Canis lupus familiaris: one gene and its partners. The protein of the gene in region 2 purifies or fractionates together with the protein of the main gene of each other region. This does not show direct contact. Links are inferred from orthologs where the notes say so. Each region holds a gene or a part of one and is shown on either strand. Other genes may lie near its edges.

Region 1 (6,045 bases), on a different chromosome or scaffold from region 2:
CAAAGGGATCGAGTCTTATAACCACTGTGATAAATCACAAAGACTTATATCCCCAGGCAGAAGCTGTCTGCCTAAGGTGAGGGGCTCCAGGGTAAGTGAGGCCTCGGCAGCTGCCCAGAAATAGAAGACCCAGCCCGTGGCCCCGGCCCTCACCCTGCTGAGCTCGTGGAGCTGTGCTGTGAGATCTGCCACCTGCTGCTTGACTTGCTTATGCTCACTGGTCTCCTTTTCAAGTTTCTCTTTCATTTTATTTAAGGTCTGCATCATCTCTTCTTTCTCTTGGGTCTTGGCATCACATTCGCGCTCTTTCTTTTCCAATTTCTGTTGTAACTCATTGTGCTCTACACAAGAAAACAATGGGACATGAAAATAGGGGACTCTTCAAAGCTGAAGTGCTTTCTCTAAACAGAAAATTGGCTGAGGATGATTGTGAGGCTCTTTATTAGGTAAATATTATTTCTCTGTTCCATCAAAGGGAACGACTTGTGGGCTCAGGGGTGTTGGTGCTTTTGTGCTTGGAGGGGTCCTTAGATGAACAGCATTATTAGCTACATTTTGTAAAATACCGAAAAAGAGATCCTAAAGTCACAGTTCCAAAGATGCACACAGTGTGAGAAGAGAATGGTGCCTATTTGGTACTTAGCTCAGGATCCGGTCATAAAAATGCCCCTTTAACCACTCTAGGGAAAACAAATATTAAAAGGGCCTCTTTTCACAAATTAGAAATGAGAACTAGAGAAGCCATTGTTTATTAGCTAGGTTTCTGGCTCATGTCCAAGGAGCACAGGACTGAAAGGGAGGATCTTGCTCTGTGAGGAAATGCTGATGCCAGATCGCGTCTGTCCCAACATGGAGTCCTTTCTCCCCTTCTACTCTCAGAAGGCTACTTGGGACTTGAACTATCTCATGCTTCTGGCAAATAACTCTTAAAACTTGTGAAAGCAAATGTTATCATCTCAGCATTAAAAACCTTAAGGGCAGAGCATAAGAATCACTATAATCTGGGGAGAAAATATTAGCTCTCAGCTGTAATTTTACTGACTTCCCAATCCTGCTCTAATGGAACAAGGCATCCAATTTAGCCTAATGCTTATTTACACTGCCAATATGCCTACTGACTCCAGCCCTTACAGGAGTGAGAGAGGCTTTGGGAAAGAGGACTAATGAATTTTAGGCTGCAGATTTTTATTTCAAATACTTGGCCCCAATTCCTACTCTTTTTATATAGTAAACCCACTAGAGATATAATCCACTGGGGCAGAGCTACACAGATTTATTAGTCTCTATTTCTGAATCTGATAACACATTTAGATTCTTGTTTTCTCCATCTCTTACTTTCTCTCTTCTGAGTTCCCCCAAATCAACTTACAGAAAAAAGTTCAACCATTAAAAGCCTTGAAGTTAAGATAACCATCAATCCACTTCTGCTTTGCAAATGTGTCCCCAACTTCTTCAGAGATTTGTCTAAAAAGTACCTTACTGCACCCCATTTTCCTTCTTTTATCTCCACTTCACTTCTCTTCCACAATTGTTAAGATTTGCCTCTTATGGTCATGAAGCTTTGACAAATCCAGCTGTGTCTCAGAACCACCTGAGAGATTTTAATATCTTGGGAGTCTGTTCTATGGGGGATGCAGGGGGCGGGGGGATGGGTTGGAGAACAGGGCTTAGGAATTTGTTTTCAGATGCTCCTTAGAAAATTCTGATGTAATACCAGGTCTGGGAAGCTGCTGTCAAAGGATTCTCTCCACAAAGGACATCCATTTATCTCCACCTTTCAGGGCCCAAAGAACTTCCTATCTCCTCATAGCCTTCACCCTCTAGTTCATCAACATGTGCCCTCTATAATAATACAGCCTTGCTACTTGAAGCTTTCAGAAAATAATTTTTTATAGATAATTAATTAATTATCTATAATACCCCCTCCTTTATACTCCCCCTGTGACCTCACTTTAAACAATCCTGTTTGGCCCTACTGACCTTGGCCATTGTCTCTTGTACCACCTCCGCCACCCGAATCCTACCATAGTCCCTATCATTTACTAGGCAACTGGTATGTGACAGGCACTGTGTTAGAGTCTTTATATTTGTTCTGTCATTTAATCTTTGCAACAACCCTGTGAGTTAGACGTGATCTTCATCTTAGGAGAAGTGTGGAGAAGAGAATGTGACTGCCTACGCACACACAAAGAGCCCAGCATAGTACCTAATGCATACAGGTATTTGACAAGCATCCACTGAACAAATGACTGAAGGACTCTGAAGCTTCTGTCCTGTGTACTCTACTCCACTTGCACATCTTAATCCTCATGCTCTAGACTATACTCCTTAAGTATCACCCGATCATTTTCTCTTTGTTATCATCTCTTCACCCCAAACTTTATAGTCAGTGTTTCTCTTCTTTCTATAGCAGCTTCTGGAATCTATTAATAAAAATGTATGTGGCAACCTCACCAATGTGAGAACAATCTGAATTCACGTGAGGGACTTGTAAGTATACTTCATGTTTGGCAGTTTCCATTATCGGTGGCCTGGCTTTTCTGCTCAATGGAAAAGGACAAATATGACAAGGGAAAAGGAAATGCTCTGGCATCTCTTGGACCCTCTTTCAACACACTGACTATCAGGGTGAGTGCTATTGTGTTTCACTGGCTGTGGCTAAATAACTTGGACAAGGAAAAGGAAGTCAGTTAACCAGCAGAGAGAAAGAGCAGAGGCCAGGAATAGGACTGTTTTCACAAAAGGACCAACTTTAAGTTACTGGTATTTTGAAGGAAACATATCCACTCTCTGAGAGGCTGGCACAGTGATGGGCACAAATGACCCTCCTGTCATCTGATGCTGAGTCTTAATACCAAAGACATGTTCAAATACTCACCAAGAGCTGGTGTATGAATGCATCTATCTACAACAGTGAGTGATTTTCTAGATGATTTTTCTTTTTATAAGTGGTGCCAAATTAAGGTCACGTGGAGGATGGGGCTGCTGAATCAACTGGCCTGGGTTTTTCTTTTAAAATTCTGGTTATTCATGATGTTCTTTATTACATATCTTAAAATCTAGTGTGATTTAAAGAGCAGTTATGGGGTAGGGGCGAGGGCTGGAAGGAGTGGCAGTTAAGAAAATCTGAATTTATGAATACCAAAATGCAAATGCTATAAGGTCTTCCAAAAAATTTACATAATTATAATAAAAGGATAAAATATTTGGCAGTCAGTATGACAACTGAAATAGCTTCATTTAAGAGAAAAGAGGGCAAAAATGCCTTTATGACATAGAAAAAACTAATGCACTAAAGTCAGTAAGAAGTATCAGCACAAATTTCTAAAATATGCAGAGCAGAGTTGCCCAATAACCAGTAACATGTCCCCTTGTCAGGACCTCATTATTTACCTTTTCTCATCTTTTCTGCTTGTTCTTTCCACTGCTTAACTTCATTTTCATTAACCAACCTGTATAATAGTTAAAGGAGTATTCATTATAAAAAACATAAAAGGCCCATTGTCAAAATACACGCTCTCTAGGTACAAAAAATAGTCCAATGCGGAGAAAATCATCAGCATGCTTGAAAACCATTTAAACTCAGAGGTCACTGAGATATATTACATATGTATATGGAGGAACTCATATTTGGCCTCTAGAACATTTCAGTTCTCTCAGCTGCTACTTTAAAGTAGGATACAATAAATGTCTTACATGGTGACTATTACCTCACAGACAGCAAAATAAGAAACTTACATCCGTACAACATTCTTTATGTTAAAGTTTTCCAAAGGTGTGGTGTCGGGGTCCTGTCCTTTGTCATTCTGAATAACTATTTGCTGTACGATTCTATCTAGTAGTAGCCAATACTGAACGGTGTTGCCACTTCTCTTGTCTAAAAAAGAAAAGAATTATAGAAAAACACTTCAAGTTGTTTCTAAACTAGGTTGAGTATTTTTCAATAGCAGTCATCCACCAGAGCCACAGAACCAGAGATGTTTACAACATTTGCACTAGCACTTCTCATAGCCTCTGGAATTCTGACATGCAATGATCATTTATGTGACTGAGAGGCACTTTCTACCCCTTTCGAAATGTGTTGCAAGTCATATATTTATTTTTAAAATCAAAGTAGGTGATAATTCATTTCTTTTTTGGAATGTCACAATACCTCCTGAGCTGTGTGGAAACACTTTGGACTGTCATAAAACCAAGGTCTGGAATCCCTGGTGTGCACCCAACCTAATCAGCACTATTCAGAAGACACAGCCCTTTGGATGATGTCCAAACATTCAAAAGCACACATGTAAGTCACAAACACACTCACAAGGCATTTGGAGGCAGTGGTGCAGGATGGACATGAAGTGAGGGTAAGCTTCACTATGGGTCAGCCTCTTCCTGGTCAGCTCAAACATCTGAGTCGCACTTTTTGTGTCTATGTGAACCTATTCCATATGAAAAAGAAATCTAAGTCAAACACCCAATATCCTCAATACCTGCAATGCAAGCAAATCCAAGGCAAACAGAGCTAATCCTGCCACTTAGGTAGCAAAACAGAACTTTGATTTTGCTCTTTGGTTATACCCAGTCCATGTCAACTTAACACATGTTACACCAGGGAAATTCCATGAGTTGATGAGTTAAATCACAGTAATTGTGAGCATACATACCAGTTCAAATCTTTTGGCAAATTCTAGCTCATCTTCATTTCGGAGCATTTCAAAAAAATCTAAATGCCTGAAATCCAATAAAAGAGAAGCTATTAAAAGTAGGACATACTCTAAACACAAGCACGTAGGAATCAGGACGTTAATACTAAGGCTTTTCCTAAATATTCAGAGATTTCTCTAAAAGAAATAAGACAAAATTTGAATGCCTTTGCTTAACTATGTTCTAAGGAAAAAGACATACTCTGACTGAAATAACAATAAGAGACAAACTTAAAAGCCTAGGATTCCTAGTACATAGTAGACAATTAATAAAGGTCTATCAAACTCAAAACCATCAAGTCCAGATTCTGCTCACAGACTCCATTTATGGAAAAACCTACCCATATATCTACACTTGCCTGACTGATGAATTAAGACCACAAAATAAATATTCACGCCATTAACCTATTCATTTTAAATATTTATTGAGCCCCTTCTATGTATTTTAGACACTAGGGATGATAAGTTCTATTAAGACAAATACATCAGGGTAAAGGCAAAAGAGAATGAGAGGAGGTGAGGTGAGTTGTGTATACACACTGGCTGGAAAAGGTCTGACAGGTATAAGGGAATAAGAAATTTGGACATCTGTAGGAAGATCTTTGAGTGCTGAGAAAAATGGCAAATGCAAAGGCCCTGGGGCAAGAGTATTTTAACATGTTCATACAATACTAAGGAGAAGAGCATGTCCGAGTATATGAATGAGGGAGAATGGTAGAAGGAAAGATCTGAGAGCTAGTGAGATATCTTAGAAGTAGTAAAATGATTGCAAACAAGTGCAAATGAATGAGAGTGAAAATTCACATTCATAGAATGCCTATCAAAGGTGCCAAGTGATTCTGTGTTTTATAGTCAATCTTTCTAACCACTCATAAAAGATAGTTGTCATCATTATTATTATCACTACATCACTATTTCTCAAAAAAAAAAAAAAAAAACCCAAAAAACAAAACAGTTAAGATTCAGAAAAATTGAGTAACTCGACCAGAATTCATAGCAGGTTAAGATGTAGGACAAGGATGTGGATTCAGTATGATGCCAGAACCCACATTAAGTTCTGTACAATGTGCTGCTTCTTTCACTGAGAAAGTCTTACATAAAAGCACCATTAGTTGAACTAGTATTCAGGGGCCAGTGTCTTATGTTACAGAAAGTTCAGAGGCACACACACATGGAAAAAGCATGAACTACCTCAGATGATAACAGTTTGACTTACCTATCTAATGTTGAATTTTCATGTTCCCTTAGTTTATCTATTACAGGTTGAATTCCTAACATCAGAAATTCATAGCGAAGATGAAGTCTAAAGTCCAAACTTTCCTGAAAGTGAGAGGGTAATAAAATACATATTTGT
Region 2 (8,239 bases):
CCTGGGATCCCACATTCCCTGGATGAGTTTGGAAGTAGGAGGGGAAGGGAGATGGGCAGTCTGGCTGAAGGTTCCCCTGACCACCATATCCAGGGCTTTCCCATCATCTTTCACGGCGTCATGGGCAAGGACGAGCGTGAGGGCAATAGCCCATCATTCTTCAACCCCGAAGAGGCTGCCACTGTGACCTCCTACCTGAAGCTGCTCCTGGCCCCCTCCTCCAAGAAGGGCAAAGCCCGCCTGAGCCCCCGAAGTGTGGGCGTCATCTCTCCCTATCGGAAGCAGGTCAGGCCATGCGTTCCTGTGGAGGGTTGGATCCCTGCCTGCCCCAGATGGTACCTCTTTCGTAGCCAGACCCTTAGTGGAGGTTCCAGAGCTCAGGCCTCTGCTGGTCCCTTATCTCAAAGGATCTCAGAGGTCAGCTGCCCTCCCTCTTTGCCCCCCCAGCTCACTGGCCTCTTGCCTGGCTCCCTCTTGCACTGGGGTAATTGCATGAGAGAAAGGCACCTGTCCCCATCTTCCAGGTGGAAAAAATCCGTCATTGCATCACCAAACTTGACAAGGAGCTTCGAGGACTGGATGACATCAAAGACTTGAAGGTGATGCTCTCTCTGTTTTCAGGCCCCATATCTGCCGCACTTCAAGAAGCTCCCCAGGCCCCCCCACCTCACTGCCTGAGCCACAGCGGGGGCTCTCCCCAGGCCTCATTCCAGCAGATCCCAGGCTTGTGCGCCTGGGTCGGGACCAAGCAGAACTCCCCAGATCCTTGCTGCTCCCCGCCAGGCTGGTTGGAGGCCTCTGCCCTCAGGATAAAGTCCAAACTCCCAGCCTGCCTGACCTGTCATGTGATAAGTGTCCCCGCTCCCATTTCCACCCTCTGAGTCAGTCTGTTCTTGGACTCTCAGGTGGTGGCTCTCAACACTGGTGGCAGATAAGAATCCCCTGGAAAGCTTTTAGCGCAGCCCGTGCCAGAGCCCCACCCGGCTGGTTAGCACAGCTATCTGAGGGCAGAGCCAGGGCATCGCGGTTTCTTTATGGCTCCTCACTTGACCTAGCGCACAGCCAGGGCTGGAAACCAGCGCCTCAAGATTGAGAGGCCTCCTGGTTAGGAGGTCTGGGTTGTTTATCTTTAACAAGTACTTAGTGATTGTCTCTCAGGAAGTTTGGAAACCACTGCTCCGAGTTAGTGGGTCCTGGCCACTGTTTTCTTAGCTTAGAACCCTTTCCAACCCGCACCCATTTCCCTGGATTCACCCATCAGGTCTGGCTTCCAGGGCGTCCTGCTCTTTCCTGCTCCCTCCCTGTGCCCTAGGACTTCTCTCCGAGAGAACCCCCCTCCCCCACTCCCCCACCCCCCTCCCTGCTTCCCCTGTGAGCCCCCTGGTGGCAGGCCCTGTGTCCCCCTGCAGGTGGGCTCCGTGGAAGAGTTCCAAGGCCAGGAACGCAGCGTCATTCTCATCTCCACCGTGCGGAGCAGTCAGAGCTTTGTGCAGCTGGACCTGGACTTTAACCTGGGTTTCCTCAAGAACCCCAAGGTTCGAGAGCTGGCGGCTGGCGGCTGGCTTGAGGAGCACTTTTGTTCCTCAGGTCCTTCCCTCCCATGACCCTGCCCCTCCCTCCTTCCAGAGGTTCAACGTGGCAGTGACCCGCGCCAAGGCCTTGCTCATCGTGGTGGGCAACCCACTCCTCCTGGGCCACGACCCCGACTGGAAAGTGTGAGCATTCCCAGCCCCTAACCCCTCTCAGGAGCCGCAGCTCCCAGCCTGGGGCAGTTGGAACGCTATTAGGCACATCCTGGTGGCCCAGCTAATGCACAGGTCTGTTCAGGTCTGTTCCTGGTCCCCACAAGGCCCCTTTTAAGTGACCTGACAGAGGGTAAGCAAGTGGCCCAAAGGCACAGGCAAAGGTAGTAGGACCAAGGCCTGGCCTCTAGCCTCCAGCATCTGATGTGCTCCTCAGCCAGCCTGCACAGCTCCGTGTGAATGTTCCTGTACCCACAGATTCCTGGAGTTCTGTAAAGAAAACGGGGGCTACACCGGCTGCCCCTTCCCGGCCAAACTGGACCTCCAGCAAGGACAGAACCTCCTGCAGGGTCTGAGCAAGCTCCGGCCCTCTACCTCAGGTATGACCAGCCAAGCAGGGGACAGCACAAGGGGAGGAGGCATGGAAGACAGGCTCACCTCTTCTCTTTCTAGGGCCCCAAAGTCATGACTACCCCCCCCAGGAGCGGGAGGAAGAAGATGGCCTGTCCCTGCAAGTAGAGCCCGAGTGGAGGAACGAGCTCTGAAGACACAGCAGACCGCTTTCTCACACCAGCCAAGCCTTAACCACCCGCACACCCCTGCCCCAGAGCCCTGCCTGAACCCAAGCCCAGCGGCACTGCCCCTCCAAAGGACCGGAAGGCTGGGGGAGGGAGTTTACAACCCAAGCCATTCCACCCCCTCCCCCCTGCTGGGGAGAATGACACACCAAGCTGCTAACAATTGGGGGAAGAGGGAGGAAGAAAAACTGAAAACAAAATCTTGTTCTATGCAAAAGCCTCCTTGTCTCCTCTGCCTGGCCCCCTCTGGCCTTGTGGCCTTCCTGAGCTCCCAGATGGACCCCAGCCGGGAGGGTGGCACTGTCCCACTCTGCCTCTGGCCATACCCCTCCTAGCCAGAGAGGATCCCCCCCCACCCCCCAAGGTCCAGGGGAGGAAACCCAGTGGGAGGTGGCAAGGAAACCACCCACAGGCTTCTAAGTTTAGCCCCTGCTCCAGACCACTCCCCTCACCCGCCTCCAACTCCCAGAGCCAGGCATGACCTCATCCCTTGCTCTGACACTCCACCCTGCCTGCCCAGGAACCTTGTATTTGCAAACAGGGGGCCAGCCTGGCCAGCAACTTGGGAGAGATGGGACTCTTAGCTCATGGCCAAGACAGGGACCTGGAGAGAAAAACGGGAAGCTGCCACACACACGTTGGAACCTGTGGCCTTTATTCATGCCTTCCACCAAGTACAGCCAGAGGCAAGGTCCCCAACCAAAGCATAAATGCCAGGGACCCGGGGCTCTGGGTGACATACACCCTCCAAGTCCCCTACCCCAGACACTCCTGTGAGCCCAAAGTATATAAAGTGCTGGTGTGTGATGATCCTCTGGGGAAGGCTGAGGGATCAAGAGCCTCACCCCTGGACCAAGGCAACAGGACAAGGGACTTTGCTCTGGAAGGGCAGGGAGGGCCAGCCTACCACCACCCTGGGGTCTGGTGGGGCAGGGGAAACTCAGATGCAGTCCTGGGCTGGAGGGAATGACAAGGAAGCCTTCCTTCAACAAGTGTGGGGCCAGGAAGTGGGGAGCTTCTGCACCCCCATGAAGGGGGGGGGTGAACAGGGGAGGCCTCAGTGGTCTCAGAGAATGGGACAACCCCTCCGGCGCTTATTCTTGCGAACCTGGAGACCCGCCCGAGTGGCCATCTCGAATACCTCCCTCACCCCCTCCTTGGTCTTGGCTGAGCACTCCAGGTAGCCAAAGGCACTGATCCGGTTGGCCATGTCCCGGCCCTCTTCAGATCGCACGGGCTCCTGAGAAGATAGAAGGCCAGAGGTCAAAGGAAGCTGCTGGCTACTTGTAACTCTCCCCCACCTTACCCATAAGTGTAGTAATCAGAACAAATACGTCTTCCAGCTCTCACCTCACAAAGCACTCAAGCCCCAGCCACCCAGGGTGGTTTCTGGGCCAGGACCCAAAAGACTCAAACGCTTACATTAAAAATTGCCTCCACCAGCCCCATACCCCATGGTATGCCCTCCTCCTGCCAGAATGAGTATCTGGCACCTCCTAACGGATCTCCCTTCTCATTTCTTTCCAGTCCATGCTCCGTGCCTGCCAAAATAATCCTAACACACAGGTGTGACCCGGTTTAAGACTGTGCCATAATTATACTTGCAGGGTAGTCCATAGTCCTCATCCCCCTGGCAACTCTCCTTAATAGACATAGTCCTCTGGCCAGAGAGCCACTACCAGGTAAGCCAACTCCCTTGCTCTCCGGGCCTTCCAGCCATGTCCGATGCCTTCCCACCTGCACCTCCCCAGGTATACTCTGATGGCATGACTTTGGCTACCCCAAGCAAAACATCTAGAGTAAGAGGCTGTCTCTGAGGACAGGGATACTCACTCCTTTTAATCGTCCAACCCAAACAGAATGGACAACAGATGAATAGACTAAAATGCCAGGTGACCTTTGATAAATCACTTCATTTGCTGATAATTTCACCAGGTGTGGGACCAGAGACTAAGAGCCCTTCTAGTTACACCGTGGAAGGGAGCAGGAGGCAGACCTCCCCCAGGGAGGTCAGCAGGACAGCAGACCCTGAAGGGTCAGTCCTCCACCCCGCCCCCCCCTTGGAGCCCCACCCACCTGCTTCATCTTGGCCAGCTCTCTCCTGGTGTGCTCATCTTGCCTCAGGTCCTTCTTGTTCCCCACTAGGATGATGGGCACGTTGGGGCAGAAGTGCTTCACCTCTGGGGTCCATTTCTCAGGAATGTTTTCTGCACAGACGTGTCCCAACAGGTGTTGGTGCCTCCACTTAGGCCAGAAAGCCCCCCCCCACCCCCCGCAAGCCCCCTTTTCTCCCCGCAGCTGTCTTAGAGGCTCTTCAACATGACAGTCCCTTTCATGGCTCAAGAGCCCCTCTGATCCTCCCCAGGGCCAGAGTCCCCACCCCATAGTGCAGGGGCAGGAGCCTAATGGCACCTCTCCCCACCCCATCTCTGAAGGTGGCTAAACTGAGCCAAGGAGATCTGCCCCCAGCGGGCTGGTCCCAAGAGCTTCTCAGTGCCCTTCTCCCAATGCCCTCACCCCACCTCACCCAGGCTGTCGGGGCTGTCGATGGAGAAGCACATGAGGATGACATCAGTGTCCGGGTAGGAGAGAGGCCGTAGGCGATCATAGTCTTCCTGCCCAGCCGTGTCCCATAGAGCCAGTTCCACCTGATGCCAAGGGCCAGTGAGTAGCTGGCCTGAGGGTCCCAGGCCCTCCCTTACCACCCAGAGGTCCTCTGAAACCACTGGTCATTTAGGTTCACTCAATATCCATCTACAAAAGCCCTCGCTATGTGCCCGGGACAATGCTCATCACTGTCACACAACATAAACTGGGTGAGTTTCTAGAGATGCTGAGACACAGGTGCTTGATCTTCATGGAGGTCATGAGCCACCGCCTGAGCACCAGGAATGGACCATAAGTCACAAGAACCTCCAAAGGAAGCCTTGTCATTACCCCCATTTTGTAGTCTGGAGTCGGAGGGGGCCCAGATTATGGATGGGATGTGGGGGCGGGGGGCAGAGAACCAGGAGGCATCTCTAAATGTCCTGAAACTACAGTTTCGCTTCCTGACTTATACTGAGTCCAGCAGGGAGACTGGAGCAGGGAAGTGTATGGATGGTGAGGAGGGGCAGCCAAGGGCTGTAGGACTAGGGCGGGGTGGGTTCCCCCGGGGGCACCAGGAGGGGCTCCACGGTCACCTGCTTGCCGTCCACCTCTATGTCCGCGATGTAGTTCTCAAAGACAGTAGGGACATAGACCTCTGGGAACTGATCCTTGCTGAAGACGATGAGGAGGCAGGTCTTCCCACAGGCTCCATCTCCCACAATCACTAGCTTCTTTCTGATCGCAGCCATGGCTGGGGCTGGCAGGAGGGAAGCGGGGGCCGGGTGGGGGCAGGAGGAGAAGCCAGTAAATCCCAAAACATTTCTCTGGGGCCCCCAAGACCTCCTGGAAACTGAAGCCTCCACAAAGGGAGGTTGAGGGCCTTACTCAGGTGTGCGTTCTTGCCAAGGACCAATCGATCAAACAACTGAGCTTGAAGTTTCTAATCTCGGGGGCAGGGCCAGGTGTCCCTGGACAGATTAGAATACAGGGGTGGGAGGTGGAAGGACCACCCACCCAGGGGACAGAAAATAGATTTCTGGTCCAATCCGCCAACTGTGAGATCCTGGACACCTAGAGGGGGGCTCCAGGGTTGGAGCCCCTTCTGGAAGAGCTGGCTTTCACCTGCTATATACCAGGGCTTCAAGTCACACTCTGTTACCAGGATTTTGATACTTTTAAAGTTTAGCAATCACAAGGGCCCTATCATGGACACGTCGGCCCTGGCTCAGAGCAGGTCATGCCCGCCCCGTTGCAGTGAGGAGTCCCTCTCCAGACCACAGGCTGGCACAGCCAACTACCAGGGGACAGGTGGGTAAGAGCAAGTCTGCTGAGCATTTCGGTAAAAACCATCCCCCTCAGTCCCCAGAAGCCTGGGAAGGTAGAGGGTGCGCTTCCATTCTGACAAACGGGAAACAAACCTAGGTGAGGTTAGGACTCGTGTCAAAAAAAAAAAAAAAAAAAGGACTCGTGTGTCAGAGCTGGGGGGGCGGGGGCACACTGGAAGCCAGGCTCCATGACTCTAGGGTCTGTCACCTTTTCTACGGATCACCTCAGAGATGGGAAAGAGAGCCGAGGGAGGGGAAACCCAGGGAGGGCAGTGGCAGCAGCCAGCCAGCCTCCCCGGCCCACCCCACCCCATCCCAGTCCCCAAAGCTAGCCCCAGTCGCACAAAGGAGGCTCAGTCCCCGCGGTGCCCACAGCCCACATTTGGGCAGCCTGCCCTCCTCTCCCCATCCTCCTGGGCCCTGGCGGCAACACTGGGTCACTCAGCCCCAGGCAGGGGACAATGACCATACTGTGGGAGCAACACATCCACCATGGGCCGAGTGACACAATAATCTACTAGGGAATCACCTCCACCCACTCCTGGAACAGCCCCTTCCTCCCCTCTGTCTAGCTCACCCCAAGGCCCTGCCCACCCCTCCCTGTGACTCAGGGCAAGGAGTCAGTTTGCCGAGGTTTCCGTAGGGTCCCAGCCCCAGCACAGCCGAGCGAGCACCAAGCCTCCGCAGCCTCCCAGCCTCCTAGCCCCGGATCTGAGCCTCACTTCCTCCCTCCCTGGGGACAGAAGCTGCTCTCCAGCCAGCTGAGGCTCCCCCAGGTCTGCGGCCTCTGAGGAAGAGAGGGCGGACTTGGAGCCGGGAGGCGGCGAGGCCGTAGGGAAGAAGGAGGGGGCCAGAGGCGGAGCTGGGAGGAGCTCCCAAAACTGAGCAGAAAAGGGCCAGTCCCCACACCAACCAGGCAGCCAGCAGTTAAGGGAGAAAGGGATGGTAACCTGATCTCTGCCCCAAACCGGGCTTTTTCTCTCGGACCCACATCCTGTCAAACTGGGCTGAGCTCCTGGACTCCTCAGACCACCACCACCCCACAGCCCTGGCTTGTCTGCCTTTGAGGAAAGCAAGGAGTCTGAGCCCAAAGCTAGTTCTCTCCAACAGTGGGATCCTGGGTGGCCTCCCTCCACACACACACACACACACACACACACACACACACATACAAGTGGGATGAGAGGAAGTGGATGAGTCAGAGAGAATTTATAGGAATTCAGAGGATACCGCCACACTGTCCCCCCCACAAAGGGGCTCTCCCCCTAGTACCCCAAAAGATAGGCAAGGCACTCACTGTGCCAGCAGGTCCCCTCCAAAGATGGAAACCACCTTCAAAAAGGGAGTTCTCCCTGGAAATTCTGCCCAAGTGATTAACTCCCCCGTACCCAGTCCCGCTAGTTCCATTGGCCCAGCTGGGCGAAAACAGGCTGGGGGCACCTGGGATGGGCAGTGCTGATGAAGGGCAGTCACGTCCACAGTGAGAACCGGTTGCTTAGATGTGAGCAGGCCACTCACTGCCTCCCTGCAGCAGGGCATTTAGGTGGTACCAGATGGTGGGAGGCACAGAGGCCAGAATTCAGGGGCAAGGGCATGCATTAAGTGATCTGGAGCCCCCAGCTCAATCCAAAGACTTTCCCTTCACGCTCTCATTGGGCAAGAAAAGCAGCTGGCTAGGCCAAGCCAGGCCAGGCCAGTAGGCCCAAGGCCAACCTGGCAAGGAAAACAGCTCCCTGTGAAAGGCAGCCCCACAGGAACTGCCCTACTGACCCTCAGAGGGGCAACAGAACCCAACACAGAGGCTGGGATGCAGCCCACCAGCTCCTGGGCCTTCCCTAGGACAAGACGAACCACCCTCTCCCCTCAATCCTGCTCCAAATTTCCAGATGCCTGAGGGTGGGCTGCAGCCTGCAGACCAGCCCTGAGGGCTGGCGAAGAAATCAGATACCACGTCGACTTTCAAGCCAGAAGTGAGGGCAGGACTCAGCGCCGGGTCCTCCGGCCC
Region 3 (5,393 bases), on a different chromosome or scaffold from region 2:
GTCTCTCTGCAAAAAAAAAAAAAAAGGTGATTAGAAATGCACTTTGTTTTGTTGGAGATGGGAATTCCTAGCATATCAATTGATTGCTGGTAGCTGGCCCAGATGATGGTTTCTCTGAAATTTATAATTTTTGGATGCCTCTGTTCTGTTTTCTATATGATGCTTTTCTTTTTTCTTTTTCTTTTTTTTAAAGATTTATTTATTCATGAGAGACACACAGAGAGAGAGAGAGAGGCAGAGACACAGGCAGAGAGAGAAGCAGGCTCCATGCAGGGAGCCTGACGTGGGACTTGATTCCAGGACCCCAGGATCAGGCCCTGGACTGAAGGTGGCGCTAAACTGCTGAGCCACCCGGGCTGCCCTATATGATGCTTTTCAATAAGGACTGATCCTATTGAAAAGATTCTCTGAAGCCAGACAAATATCTAAATGTCATTTCTCTACCAATCTATCTGGAATTACTTTAGGGGATCTGGAAGTTTATAAAATCGGGAATTCATCAACAAATACTTACTGAGCATCAACAATGAGCAATCACTGTTCTAGGAGCTGGAAACAGAAGTGAAATATACAAACAAACCAAATGATGCCATTACAGTTTGATATACTATTTATTTATTTAGTTAATAATATGGACAGCCTATTCAACATTACAGATGTTTTTCAAAACCTATAATAAAATATAGTCCACTATCCAGCCCAGAAGAAGATAGTAAACAATACCATTCTTACAGTAAGTGTAGCATAAGCATTCAAAATAATAGTCCCTTTCCTGGACATCAAAGGGAATAATCAGTCAGTTTCTTTACCTCCACTGAGGTTTTAATTTTCTTGAATTATACCTGTTTCAGAGTCAAAAGTCCAACTTCAGTCACCCCATAGATATGTGCAGTATCTCCCACTGGAGAGGAAAGAGCTCTTGTCACCCTGGGCAGCCCATTCTACTGCCCTACAGCCCTTCCATAATGGAGCCCATCATACCTTTCAGCCAGTATTTGTCAAGCTTGTGCATGGGGACAAGACAGGGTATGTCACAGGGATCTTTTGGTTAATTTACAAAGATTGTGTTTCAAAGTTCTAAAAACCCATTTGGTGGTGGTAGTGGCAGTGAAGAGTACACTATATTTCGCCAAGAGGGTCTTCTCATCTCTTGAGTCTTGGCGTTGTCACTTTTTTCTGATAGTTGTGAGATCTAGTGCAATTCTCTGTGGCAAGTGGAGGTGGGAAACTCTAACAGCTACTGGTATGAGGCCATCTGCAGAATGAACTAGACTGGCAACTATGGCTTTTATAACCTGCTTCCTTTCTTTAGTATAGACAAACTTCTTTCTTAATCTTTTTTTTTCTATGTCCTGCTAGTTCTAATATAAGATTTAAAAGGACTAGGACAGAGGAAACTTCTGATGAAAAACTGCCACAAAAAAACAAAAAAACCCACAACAAAACCTCTACAACCCACCTTCCAATGAACTATACTCAATTTCTCAGTTGAAAACAAATGCCAAGTGAACATTAAAGACAAGTGTTGGACAATGCTGATGTCAAAATGTACATATATCAGATTCTAAAATATAGGCCAAAAAACCCCCCAAAATATGTACTTAGTGTAACACAGATTCTTCAACCCTTTAGTTTCATGCTGAAAAACACAAATATTTTCAATGTTAAGCTATGGATGACAGCGAATTAAATAAAAATTAAAAAACCACAAGGAAGCCTTGCCAAGTTTGTGGCAATTTCAGGAGTCTACATAGTTAGGAAGAAGGAGAAACCATAGGGTAAAGAGTGAGAGCATTGGATTTTATTTAACTCTAGGTACCATGGGTTTGACATTAGTAGGTAAGACTAATGAATGAGCAGCCATACAGTTTTTTGGTCACTGTGCTTCCCAAGCACCAAAAAATGGAGCTATTTTTACTATTCAATTCCATCTTTAAAAGCTAGACAGATCCTGCTGCATTCTTGTTTGTTTCTAATTTACCAGTACATTATTATGTAGTTTTACCAAGTGTGAGGAGCAAGTCATTATGTAGTACCAAGTTTACATCATCATAGGACTACAACATGCACATTCTACTTAATGTAGCTCAAGCAACAGGAATACAAGAGAACAGTTATGGGTGGAGACTTGTTTTTGACAAATTCATGTTTACACTAACTATGGGTTTAGAAATCTTATTGGGCAGGTACCTACAGCAGTTCTTCAATTGGTACTGGAACATTACACGCATGCACAAGTGATATGGAAGAAGATGGAGGACAAAGGGGAAATCAGAGCTGGGATGATGCCATGTATCAGGGAGGGGCAGTTCTCAGCTGTCCACAGTAAGTCTCTGCTCTGTGAGAGAGGCCTGTTGGGCAACACTTTTGTTCTCATGACTGCGAAGTTTGGATACAACATCTAAAAAGGCCAAATCCTGTACTTCCTTGTGTAGAGATTCTGGAAGACAAAAACCAAGATAACAGATAATGCATCTGTTAAATTGTTCTAATGTTACTATACAATCTATCATACACCTAAATCTTACTATACAATACATATACCCAAAATGTTTACTTGGATGATACCAAGTTATAAAACTAGGAACAATTCTATAGTAGCCTAGAAATGTCTTCATTAGAGATGTATCAAGGGAACTTTACTTGCCATATTTATAGACAGACAAATGTCAAGTTGTACAGTCTAAGTTTGATTAGAGTCATGAGTTATAATGAAACACAGGTCTTTGTATAATCTCAAGTTTCAGTTATATACTCCTTGACCCTATCATCAGTTCAAATATGAAGTCCAATGACTTACAAAAAAAATCTTAGAAATTTTAGATCAGTTTCAAATTAATTTTCTGGTAAATGAAAAGGTTATACTTCATATCCCTTCAACAAATTTCTGTGACAATAGCTTTCCCTTTTAGATTTCTGATCTTCCTCCTTCTGGCTTTCTTGCTCTTTTTAACCTCAATTACAGGAAAATAAAAGACTCTCAAGACTTGGAGACTGTTAGATGAGAAAACTGACATCTAATAAGCTTAATGCAATCAGCATTCCTCAAACTGATATATTTAGTAAGTTGGTAAGGTCTAAAACTAGACATAATGTTTTGAGTAGAAACAGAAAAATGCATCCTAAAACTCAGATGGAAGCTGAAGAGTCTGAATATTCAAAACAATCTCAAAAATGAACAAAGTTGGAGGTCTCAAACTTTCTAATTTCAAAATCTACTCTAAAGCTTAACAATCAAAACAGTGTTGTGCTGAAATAAAGACAGAGCTATAGATCAAGAAATAAAACAGCCCCATATATACAGTCAAAATATTTTTGACAAAGATGTCAAGACCATATGGGACACCTGGGTGGCTCAGCAGTGAGCGTCTGCCTTCATTCAGCTCAGGGCATGATCCGGCCCCAGGATGGAGTCCACATTGGGCTCCCCACAGGATGCCTGCTTCTCCCTTCGCCTGTGTTTCTGCCTTTCTCTCTGTGTCTCTCATGAATAAATAAAATCTTAAAAAAAAAAAAAAGATGTCAAGACCATTCAATAAGGAAAGGACATTTTTTTCAGCAAATGGTGCTGGTGAAACAGGAGAGCCATAAGCCCCCTTTTTTTAAATTTTTTTAAAAAATTTTATTTATTTATGATAGGCACACAGTGAGAGAGAGAGAGGCAGAGACATAGGCAGAGGGAGAAGCAGGCTCCATGCACCAGAAGCCCGACGTGGGATTCAATCCCAGGTCTCCAGGACCATGCCCTGGGCCAAAGGCAGGCGCTAAACCGCTGCGCCACCCAGGGATCCCCCATAAGCCCTTATATACAAAAATTAAGAGCTAAAACTCTAAGACTCTTAAAAGGAAAAACTTAATGACATTGGATTTAGCAATGATATCTTGGATATGTATCAAAAACACAGGTAACAAAAGGAGAAAGAGAGATATTGGACTTCATAAAAATTAGAAACTTCTGGGTACCAAAGGATACTATCAATAGATTGAAAAGGCAACCCACAGAATGGGAGAAATAAATGCAAATCATATATCTATTAAGGGATTAATATCCCAAAAATATAAACCTTTTCAACTCAACAAAAGAATAACCTGATTAAAGTATGGGCTAAGGACTTGAATATGCATTCCCCAAAGAACCTATATAAGTGGGCAACAAACACACGAAAAGCTCCCCGACATCACTAACCATTAGGGAAATGGAAATCAAAAGCAAAATAAGGTAACACCTCATACTCATTAGGATGGCTATTATAGAAAAAAAAAAAGGATTTAGAGAAATTGGAACCCATGTGCATTGCTGGTAGGAATGTAATATGGTGTAACCACTGTGGAAAACAGTATGGAGATTCCTCAAAAAATTAAATATAACCATTACTGTATGATAGAGCAATTTCACTTCTGTGTATATACCCAAAGTGACTAAAAGCAGGGACTGAAAAAATACTGTGTACCCATATTTTCATAGTGGTATTATTTATAATAACCCAAAGGTCCATTGATAAATGAATGGATAAACAAAATGTGATATATACATACAATGAGACTTAAGAAGGAATGCAATTTTGATGCAGGTTAAAACATGGATGAGCCCTGCAGACATTATGGTAATGAAATAAGACACAAAAAAAGAATATTGTGTGATTCCACTTATATGTGGTACCTAGAGTAGTTAAATTCATAGAGACAGAAAATAGAATATTGGTTGCCAAAAGCTAGGAGAATGGGTGATTGGGGAGTTATTTTTTAAAGGGTACCGAGTTTCAGTTTGGGAAGAAAGAAAGGTGGTGATGGTTGTACAGCAATGTGAATGTACTACTCTGCCACTGAACTGTACATTTAAAAACGGTTATAAAAAATGAAATAAATAAATATGGTTACAATGGTAAATTTTATGTATATTCTACATTTAAAAATGCCTCAATAACAGTCTTAGCAAGGAAACAAGACATAAAGAAGCTGCAAATGGGAATTTTAGAACTCAAAACTATAGTACTTGAAATAAAAACGTAGTGTATAGGCTCAACAGCAGAATGGAGGGGACCTAAGAAATCAGTGAGCTTTAAGACAAAACAATAGGAATCACCCAATTTTTTTTTTTTTAAAGATTTCATTTATTTATTCATGAGAGACAGAGAGGGAGAGGCTGAGACAGGCAGAGGGAGAAGCAGGCTCCATGCAGGGAGCCCGATGTGGGAGTCGATCCGAGGTCTCCAGGATCACGCCCTGGGCTGCAGGCGGCGCTAAACCGCTGAGCCACAAGGGCTACCCGGAATCACCCAATTTGAATGAGAGAGAAAATCTGAAAAAAATGAACAAAACCTCAGAAGCCTGTGGGATATAACTAAAGATCTCACACCCATGCCATTAGAGACCTGAAAAGAGAGGAGAAATAG

The links. Proteins that work in one complex are often made in the same cells at the same time.
Region 1: the proteins of RHOC (region 2) and DAAM1 purify together in Homo sapiens (affinity purification with mass spectrometry; 3 studies listed by BioGRID and IntAct, counting the BioPlex papers as one, with this or other methods). This does not show direct contact. The link is inferred for Canis lupus familiaris from reciprocal best matches to the Homo sapiens genes RHOC and DAAM1.
Region 3: the proteins of RHOC (region 2) and RAP1GDS1 purify together in Homo sapiens (co-immunoprecipitation; 3 studies listed by BioGRID and IntAct, counting the BioPlex papers as one, with this or other methods). This does not show direct contact. The link is inferred for Canis lupus familiaris from reciprocal best matches to the Homo sapiens genes RHOC and RAP1GDS1.

Annotation. Positions count from the first base shown.
Region 1 is NC_049229.1:34,883,992-34,890,036, reverse strand, and holds part of DAAM1 (disheveled-associated activator of morphogenesis 1), read right to left. Parts: intron 6,012-6,045; coding exon 5,908-6,011; intron 4,720-5,907; coding exon 4,653-4,719; intron 4,428-4,652; coding exon 4,310-4,427; intron 3,878-4,309; coding exon 3,739-3,877; intron 3,453-3,738; coding exon 3,394-3,452; intron 342-3,393; coding exon 154-341; intron 1-153. UniProt on the Homo sapiens protein: Binds to disheveled (Dvl) and Rho, and mediates Wnt-induced Dvl-Rho complex formation. May play a role as a scaffolding protein to recruit Rho-GDP and Rho-GEF, thereby enhancing Rho-GTP formation. Can direct nucleation and elongation of new actin filaments.
Region 2 is NC_049238.1:63,592,611-63,600,849, reverse strand, and holds the end of RHOC (rho-related GTP-binding protein RhoC), read right to left. Parts: intron 5,667-8,239; 5' UTR 5,659-5,666; coding exon 5,503-5,658; intron 4,969-5,502; coding exon 4,848-4,968; intron 4,528-4,847; coding exon 4,397-4,527; intron 3,561-4,396; coding exon 3,387-3,560; 3' UTR 2,955-3,386; downstream 1-2,954. Other genes in the region: MOV10 (helicase MOV-10), read left to right, coding at 94-285, 525-599, 1,410-1,535, 1,627-1,715, 2,001-2,122, 2,225-2,655. UniProt on the Homo sapiens protein: Regulates a signal transduction pathway linking plasma membrane receptors to the assembly of focal adhesions and actin stress fibers.
Region 3 is NC_049253.1:19,228,211-19,233,603, forward strand, and holds the end of RAP1GDS1 (rap1 GTPase-GDP dissociation stimulator 1), read right to left. Parts: intron 2,441-5,393; coding exon 2,313-2,440; 3' UTR 593-2,312; downstream 1-592. UniProt on the Homo sapiens protein: Acts as a GEF (guanine nucleotide exchange factor) for the Rho family of small GTP-binding proteins (G proteins) that stimulates the dissociation of GDP to enable subsequent binding of GTP.